Oryctolagus cuniculus: one gene and its partner. The protein of the gene in region 1 interacts with the protein of each later gene in a pairwise test. Links are inferred from orthologs where the notes say so. Each region holds a gene or a part of one and is shown on either strand. Other genes may lie near its edges.

Region 1 (4,497 bases):
CTGATATTTCCCAACTACTGCATAGTAAGAGTGGACTCTTGAATCAGCCATTTGACAACTGGAGCTTGTGAATGAATCTGTATATACAGTAACAGCTCTGCTGACACCACGCAGAGTGTGAGAAGTGACTTCTGGTTTGGAGGGGCTCCTCCGCACGGCCCAGCCTCAGGACATGTTGGGGTTAGCAGGTTTCCTGGCTCTGCCATACGAAAGCCAGGCGGCCATGATTTATCAACTAAAATGTGTAGTGCAGCATCTCAGATGCATTTTTTTCATACCGGTGAGTCTGAATTGCGTCGTGTTTCCCAGACCTTCTCTCAACTCTGCCGACTAAGATTTGATTCCAGATGTGATTCCAGGGCAACTCCTGGGGCTCTGCAACCAACCTGCACCGTCCAGTGGAAACTCGGGGAGAGGACGGGTTAACAAAACCCCGTGGAGGAGTACTTGGAAAGTTTCAACTTTTTTATTCACTCTATTTTTAAAAGGTTGTTCATTTAGATCATTCTGCCACTGAGTCACTGAACGGCCATTTCCCAAAAACAGAAAACCAGGTTTTGAAACTTCTTCTGAGTTGGTATTTGGTAATGAGCACCAGAAGGTTACCAGATACAGGATTTACCAAAATGCCGCCCCTGCCTCTCCCGGGAAGGTCAGACACAGTCAGTGGAGCTGGGCCTGTGCACAGGGAACAGCTGAGGGCCGGCAGCACCGTGCTGGTGCCCTGTCCAGCTGGGGAGAAAAGGCAGGGTGTGCAGAAAGTCCGACTGAGTCTGGAATTGTTTGAGATGCTTAATGAAGAACGCAGAACTGTTTCAGCTTCTGATTCTCAACCACAACCCTGTTCTTGCAGACCTGTGATTTAAAACAAACAAACAAACAAAAACCACAGGTTGTGCACCAGAGAGCTAAGCTGCCACCTGCAATGCTGGCATCCCATGTGGAAGCGTGGTTCAGTCCAGGGCTGCTCTGACCCAGCACCTGCTAATGCGCCTGGGAAAGCAGTGGAAGATGGCCCACGTGCTTGGGCCCCTGCACCCATGTGGAGACTCCTGCTGGAGCTCAGGCCTTGGGGAGTGAACCAGCTGATGGAAAGTTCTCTCTCTCTCTCTCTCCTCTTCAAACAAACACACACAAACAAACAAACCTTTAAAATAAAAAGTATTCTAATTTCTGGATTTGGTGTTGGGTTCATTATTCTCCCAGGAGAGTAAGTATCACCATTCTCACTGTTCAGATCAAAGAGTGGAGGCAAAGGTGAACCAGAAGCCAGGCCTGCCACCTCCAACCCGCTCAGGGTCCACCCCTAGAGCTGTGCGGGACCAACGCTGGGCTCCCGCCCGCCAGGCCCTGAGGCCGGACAGCTGCGTGGGCGCGGGCGCTGGGAGTGCAGGGGCTGCCGAGGTCCCCCCTCCGCGGCCCACGTCCCGTCCGAGCAGGTGCGAAGGCCGGAAGCCCGGGCCCTCCTTCGCTGCCTGTGTGGCAGTTTCAGTGGTCGGCGGCCGCCAGGCTGCCCTGGCCTCTCCCGGTGCCTGTCCGGTGTCGGCCAGAAGCAATCAGTACGACCCTGACCTTTGCCTCTGCGGGCACCTGTTTCCCAACACCGGCCCCGCAGCCCGCCGCGCCCAGCACAGAGAGAGAGGGGCCTCCCGGGGACGCCGCGGACCCCTGGGGGGCCGGCCTCCTCCGCACGCGCGTCCTTGCGCGGTCGGCGGCGCAGGCGGAGACCCGCACGCGAGGCCGCGCGCCCCCCGCCTCCTCGCAGGAGCCCCCGCGGCCACGCCCAGCCCCGGGGTGCGCGACCGTGGGCTCCGCCCCGCCCCGCCGGGCGCAGGTGGCGCGGCCGCGGGCGCAGAGGAGGTGCGTGGGGGATGATCTCACCCGTGCGCTCCGCGCCAGGAGGAGGAGGAGCGGGAGCGAATCCAACTTCCGGGTAGTGGCGCCGCACGCCAGCGGCGTCTTCGCCCCGTCTTCCCCTCCCCCGGGTCCCCTCGCCGCGCCCTCCTTTCCTTTTATTCCCGGCCCCACCCGCCAAAATGAACAGCTCGGACGAGGAGAAGCAGCTGCAGCTCATCACCAGCCTGAAGGAGCAAGGTAGGCGCGCACGCGGGCGCCAGGTGCGGGCAGCGGCCCCGGGGGCGGGGACGGGGCAGGTGGGGAGCTGGGCGGGCGGCGCCGCGGCCGCCGGGGTCTCCGTGGGGCCGGGTCGCTGCGGCCACGGGGTCGCGCCGCGGGGAGCCGGGTGCTGGTGTCCAGGCGGTGGGGCCGGCTATGCGCCGGCGGGGCTTGGGGGGCGGGGGCGGCGCGGCGGGGGTCGCAGCGGTGGGCGCAGCGGTGGGCGCGGCGGGTGTCCGGGCGGCGCGCGGGGCCTTGTACCCCCGGCCCCGGCCCCACCCCTGCCCCTGCCCCCTCGCTGGCGCACCGTGGCCCGCAGCGCCGCCTCGCAGCCGGTCCACCTTTTTCACTGGAGTCGGTCCCGTTCCTCTTTTCTTGACCCAGCTGGGGGCTTTTCAGGCCGATGTGTTTTTGTCACTTCCCATTTTTAGCAATTGATGAATCCGAGACACCCCTGCTTCCTGAATTTGCGTCGGGCTTCCTGAAAATTGCATGGGCGCCGGGCGCGTGAAAGCCAGGCCGTGCGCACGCGTCTCCCCGCCGCTCGGTCACTGGGTGTTACCCTAGGATCAGGGGCTGCTCCCATCAGTCATTTTCCTCCCTGGCCGCACTTGGGAACAAAGCCACATCAGCACCAGCCAACACATTAAAAGCGTTCCCGTCATTATTGCCCAGAGAATATGGGTCGAGATGCAGAGAGACACCTTGCAGATTTGGGAAGTGAAAATCTGCAGGATTAGGGGCCTCCCTGCGCGGCTCCGCAGTCAGGCCACGTGCCCTCTCCGGGGTCAGCTCGCAGGGCTGTGAACCTGCCCGCCCCTCTTGCCTTGTGGGGGCCGCTGTGGTCCATCAGGCCTTGCCTGGGGCGGTGCTGTCCAGGCGCAGGACCTGTTGCTTCCTCATCCCCCTGAGCCACACTCTTGGGCGTACAGATGCCCACAGCAGTGCTCGCTCTGTGACCCCGGAGAAATGACTGAGTCCCCCTGCGTGGAGAGAAGGTGCTGGGCACGCGGTAGCTTCTTGCACCCTCGCAGCACCTGCACCTCCCGGCCTAGAGGAGCCTGGAGTCGTAGTCACGCTCTGGACTTGGCAAGCTCTCTGGATGTCAGGTCTGTCCATGGACGGTCAGTTTCCAAGTAAGGGTGACAGAAAAAATACTACCTCCTTTCATACAGTACGTGGTTTCCAGGGTAGGCTGACGGTGCAGATAACCGACATGTTTTTATTTGATTTTAGAACCTGCTCTGTCTCTTGGATTTGAGGGCTGAGAAAAAAAAGGAGGATGTGTAAGTTCCTGGCTCCTTCTCATATTGGAAACCAAATCCGTGGTTTCGGTAGTTTTAGAGGGTGTAGTTCTTTGGTTACGAGCACACCAAGGGAAGAGAACGGTTAGACTTGGGAGTTTGTGTTGATTTAAAGGTAACCTCTTTTTGGAAGTGAAGTCTGGTGACACAAGTGCTGGATTTTTTTTTTTAAGCCCACAGTGTGATTTTTATACTTCTCAGAACCAGGGTGTGTGCCTGCAGCTCGTAGACTGTGATAACAACGGGTTTGTTTCAAGAGGATTGAATTGGTGTTTGATCTCTTGAACTGAGAAACTGGGGATTTGAGGTGGACAAACAGGCAGCTAGGTCTGTGGGTACTTAACATCAGGTCATCAGTTTTACCAGCTGGTGGTGTGTGTGCGTTTTGTTTTTGAAAACAGTACTTTTTACTACCTGTTAGCACTGTGTCAGTGCCACCCCCCCCCCCAAAAATGTGAATGAGAAGAGCTGATATTGATTAACTACTCCATATTCCTTTCTAAATGCTGAGTGAACTGACCATGGATGGGACTTACGTGCTAGGCCCCGCGGTTGTAGGTAGTGGGCCACATAGCCCTTGGAGTCAGCAGGTTTTTTTGTCTAGTCGTTAAGTAAACATACAAATGAATGCACAGTTACAGATTTTTTTTTATAGGCTCGAGTCTTAGAAATGGAACTGGAGTATTAGAGGGAACACATACACAGCATTTTGTGGGCATGGCCGAAGTGCCCCTGGGAGGACTTCCCAGCCGGCACTGGTTAACACTGTGTACTGGTTAACACTGGCTGCTGGCCATCCTTATTTCTGTCATAGCTTGACGAGTTTCTGAATCTTTGTCCAAAAAATGACATCTTCCAAAATGACTTGTATTGTCCCGGTTCCTGGCAAGCGCTGCCATCCTCCAGGTTTACTGGCCACGTGAGCTTCATCACCTTGTTCCTTCCTCTCTGAGTTTTAAGTCTGTAATTTGAGCCCGGCCCCCGGTGGGTGTTTCAGAGGCAGGGTCCTGCCCACTCTTCAGCGGGGACCTGACATCAGCCTTCTCTAATGTGAAGCCTTGAGTGGCGGTGGTGTGGC
Region 2 (4,507 bases), on another chromosome or scaffold:
CAGCTCAGCTTCCTTGTGGCCTCAGGTCCAGGGCCGGCTCTGTCAGAAATTCATTCACACTGCACAGTCTCTGGCAAAAATGCCCCTCCCATCCCCTAACTATGGGGGGGGGGGGGGTGTCTTTTGTTTTGTTTTGTTTTGTTTTGTTTTGTTTTTGTTTTGTTTTTGTTTTTTTTTGGACAGGCAGAGTGGACAGTGAGAGAGAGAGACAGAGAGAAAGGTCTTCCTTTTGCCGTTGGTTCACCCTCCAACGGCCGCTGCGGCCAGCGCACTGCGCTGATCCGATGGCAGGAGCCAGGTACTTCTCCTGGTCTCCCATGGGGTGCAGGGCCCAAGCACTTGGGCCATCCTCCACTGCACTCCCGGGCCATAGCAGAGAGCTGGCCTGGAAGAGGGGCAACCGGGACAGAATCCGGCGCCCCGACCGGGACTAGAACCCGGTGTGCCAGCGCCACAAGGCAGAGGATTAGCCTAGTGAGCCGAGGCGCCGGCAGTTTTTGTGTTTTTAAAGACAGAGTTACAGAGATGGGGGGGGGGGGAGATTTTCCATTCACTGGTCACTCCCCAAATGGCCACAATGCCAGAGGCTGGGCCAGGTTGAAGCCAGGAACTCCATCCTGGTCTCCCACATGGCAGGGGCCCAAGTCCTTGGGCCATTTTCTGCTCCTTTCCCAGAGAGCTGGATCTGAAGCGGAGCAGCTGGGGCTGCATCCAGTGCTGACATGGAATGCTGTGAACCCAGGCAGGGGTTTAAAGCAGTTTAACCTGCTGCACCGTAACGCCTGCTCCAGGGATTTTGTTTTAAAAGTTCAAGGACACAATGTTCTTAAGGCCCTTTGGGGTGTGAAATAAGGATCAATACACATTAACACTACCATAGGTCTTACTGTTCTGTAAATTGTCAAGTGTCAAACACTGGCACAGGCTCTTTAAGGGAGGTGAGTCCTGCCCCGAGGTTGTGGGGCGTGGGGTTGAGCCACCACCTGCATTGTCTGTATTCGGTAGGAGCCTCACTCCCACCCACCCACGTGGCAGACCTGGCTGGAATTCCAGGCTCCTGGCTTTGTGCTGGCCCAGCCCTGTCCTTGTGGCCATTTGGGGAGTAAACCAGCAGATGGAAGATCTCTGTCCGTCATTCCCTCTCTCTGCCTTTCAGATAAATCTTCGAGAAAAAAAGATAAGGGTAGTGTAGGCTGACTTGCAGGAGTGCAGAGTGCAGAAGGCAGGCGGTGGAGTCCCACAGGGTGGGGGAAGGGGCCTCGGGCTGATGGAATTGACAGCATTTCAGAAAGAGGGTGAGGAGAACAACTTGCACAAAAGCTCAGAGATCAGAAAATCTTGGAATGCTGGCAGGGCTGGGTGGGGAGTTGGGCTCCAGGTGAAAGGCACCTGCCGGGGCAAGCAGGTGCAGAGCGGGCGCGGTGCGGGCGCCGCGCCAGGTAAGGGTCATACTTTCACCCGGAGCAGGCGAGGACTCAGGGAAGCTCGGCCGCAGATGTTGCCTCCGCCGACTTCCCTGCCACCAGGCAGTGGGAGCCTGCTAGCCCAGGTTTGCAATTCCCCCTCTCCTAGGTATTCTTGTGACCTTGTCGGCTGCCCTGAGTCTCAGGCTCCTTCCTCGTAAAAGGACAGATATCTGTGTCACAAGGGTCAACCAGAGCTTTCCCCAGGGAGTACCAACCCAAGGGCGAATTTCCTTTCTCCCCCATTCTCATCTCTGCTCGGACTCCAAGCTCAGGCTCGTTGTGGAACTGTGGGGTGGAGGAGGTCCGCGGCGTGCGCCCTAGCGCGGCGTGCGTCCCGGCTCGCCGCGCGTCCCGGCTCGCCGCACCCGCTCCAGGGGTTTCCTTCTCGGATTCCCAAGAGCGCCGAAGACAGGGAAGGGCGCAAGTCCTGAGAGCCTGGGGCAGGGAGTCAGAAGCCAGGCACCCGCGCTGACGCAGGCAAGCGAGGTGCCACGGGTTTGTCCCCTCCCTCCTTGGCGGGCTGGGGGAGGGGCGGCCAGCCCCTCGCGGGTGAGCGCCAGCCCGGGGCTTCCTATTTCGGGAGCCACTGGGGGGCGTGGGCCACGTCTCATCATGTGATGCAAGGGCTATTTAAAGCGGTAGCTCGGCTAGGGAGCCGCTGCTCCGGGAGTCTTTGCACGCCTGCTGTCTCACAGCTTCTCAGCCTCGCTCACTTTCACCATGGTGGACGCCTTCGTGGGAACCTGGAAGCTGGTGGACAGCAAGAATTTCGATGACTACATGAAGTCAATCGGTGAGTGACCAGCGGGGCTCAGGATGCTGGGTTGGGAGGACGAGCCCGGCACAGCGCTCCTGCGTGGCTGCTGCCCTGTGCGCCCCGGCATCCTGCCTTGATTAAGGTCGGAGAGTAGAGGAACGCGGGGTTGGCAGCCCGGGCCGGGGAATGAGGGGCCCCCGGGAGGAGGTTTTCCTGGTCCCACCCTGGGAGAGGGCTTTCCAGGTAGGGAGACACAGGAAGGAGAGGCAGCTGTGCCTGTAGATGTGGGGGCAGGGCGGTGCTTTCGAGGAAGACCGGCAGGTGGGAGGCTGGGGAGGCGAGAAAACCAGGAGCATGGGTGGTCTGGAAATGTCAGGCGACTGAACCTAGAAAAGCAATGGGGCTGACAGAGTGTACTATGGCCTGTAGAGATAGGAGATACCCGGTAGGAGGGAGCTTGAGTTGGGGAAAAGGTGCATTGTTGAATCGGATAAGGGGAAGAGGTGAGGCCGGGATCTGCTCAGCTAGCAACAACCCCTGCCTCTCCATGTGGGGTTGGGTAAGAGGATTCTCGCTGGAGGCCCTCTTTTCTCACCGGCCAGTCTGACCTTGTCCTGCAGAGGTATGTACGCAGGCCTTGGTCACTGTGAGAGCCGTGGGAGAGCGTGGGAGAGTGTGGGAAGAGGCCCATCACCAGCTAGGGCCTTTTCTACAATCTGACGCTGAACCAATGCAGTGTGGGGGACAGGGTGGAGAAAGCCATCGCCTTCTAGGGTGCAGCAGAGGGTGAGGAGTGTTGGTCCAGGAGGCTTTGGCTTGCTGTGTGGTGTTGGGATGAAGAATAAAGACCCAAAGATTCTTACAGGCAAGAACCGTGGACATGGCTATAGCTTGCTTAGCTTAACAGAAAGGGAAACCGAGATCCAGACGGAGGAGGATCTCCTACCAATTCCACAGCTAAGCTGTTAGGAAGACCCAAGATTTCTAGATCCACAACCCAGAGCTCTTCCCACTACCCTACGGGCATTGTGAGTAGGACGCAGGGGAAGGGATTAGCGGCTGTCAGGTCTTCCTGTCCTGGTTTGGGCTTACAGCATGTCACCCTTTCTCTACAATTCCCAGCTATGAGACTAATCTAGTCCAGCAGGCTGGAATAGGGACAACTGGAATGGTGCTCATGGCTGAGCTAGGTCCATGATTTCCTCCCATGGCAGGAGGGCTGCAAAGGGGTAGGGAAGCCCACTTCCTATACCTTACACCTCTGCTCCTCACTCACTCCCGGAACAGGGCCTCCAAATACAGCTCCTGAGGCCAGAGCTGCCCCTGCACCTTCCTGGGCTCTGTGCCAGTGACTCCAGGAAGACTGCATTCTCAGAGAAGCAGGGGCCCCCGGCAGCTGTTGGGGAAGCCGGAGGGCCCAGGTTTTGTTTCTTCCCGCGAAGCACATATTAGGGCCAAAGAGCTGAATCTCTGAATTGAGTTACACCAGCCTTACTACCCTGTTCAGCTTCAGCCAGGAGCAGGTATCCCTGGAGACCTGTTCCTGGGCAGTTTCTTACGTGAGGGCTGAGACTCTCTTCAGCCTGCTTTTCCTCATTGCAGAGAAAAGACCCTCAGCTCTCGGTAAATGGCTTTGGCTTCATTTCTAAGGAGAACCCGGCTCTTCCCAAGTCTCCTAAATTCTGCCCAGTTCTTACTTTCCCACACTCATCCCATAGTGATTTTCCTCCTCAAACACTCCACACCTCTGGGCAGGTCCTAAGCAAACAGAGCTCCAGGTGCAGTGACAAGACCCTGCTCTGTGCTGGGGATTGACCAGCCTGGGTCACTTTGACACCAGCTGGCAAGGCCAGGTCCCTCACTGGCTAGGCAGCCCATCTCTCTCATTGCAGACAGACCAAGGGTTCTCAGGGAGCAAAAGTGTGGTACCAGTGACCACAAACAACTGGTGGTCTGAGTGCCTGAACCAAGAATGTGCTGGGCAAAATGACCCAAGTTTTGGAGCCTAGGTTCAAATCCAGGTTAATCAGTGACTGTTTTCAACTCAGCCAAGATACTTCACTGGGCCTCATTTATAAATTGGGGATAATAAAAGCTACCCTATAGCATTGTCCTAAGCATTAAGCAAAGCAACTCGTGGGCTCATGCAAACTACCTAGGTGCAGGATGGCATTGTGGCACAGTGGGTTAAATCGCTGCTTTGACATCAGCATCCCCTATCAGAGCTTTGATTCTGAGTCCTGGCTGCTCCACTCTCAATCCAGCTCTCTGCTAATGAATGCAC

The links.
Region 2: the proteins of SHTN1 (region 1) and FABP3 interact in binary tests that used the Homo sapiens proteins (3 or more experiments, as listed by UniProt). The two-hybrid records come from large-scale screens. The link is inferred for Oryctolagus cuniculus from reciprocal best matches to the Homo sapiens genes SHTN1 and FABP3.

Annotation. Positions count from the first base shown.
Region 1 is NC_091446.1:13,376,564-13,381,060, forward strand, and holds the start of SHTN1 (shootin-1), read left to right. Parts: upstream 1-1,455; 5' UTR 1,456-2,036; coding exon 2,037-2,094; intron 2,095-3,351; exon of another isoform or gene 3,352-3,397; coding exon of another isoform or gene 3,398-3,401; intron 3,402-4,497. UniProt on the Homo sapiens protein: Involved in the generation of internal asymmetric signals required for neuronal polarization and neurite outgrowth.
Region 2 is NC_091438.1:140,999,159-141,003,665, forward strand, and holds the start of FABP3 (fatty acid-binding protein, heart), read left to right. Parts: upstream 1-1,500; 5' UTR 1,501-2,186; coding exon 2,187-2,259; intron 2,260-4,507. UniProt on the Homo sapiens protein: FABPs are thought to play a role in the intracellular transport of long-chain fatty acids and their acyl-CoA esters.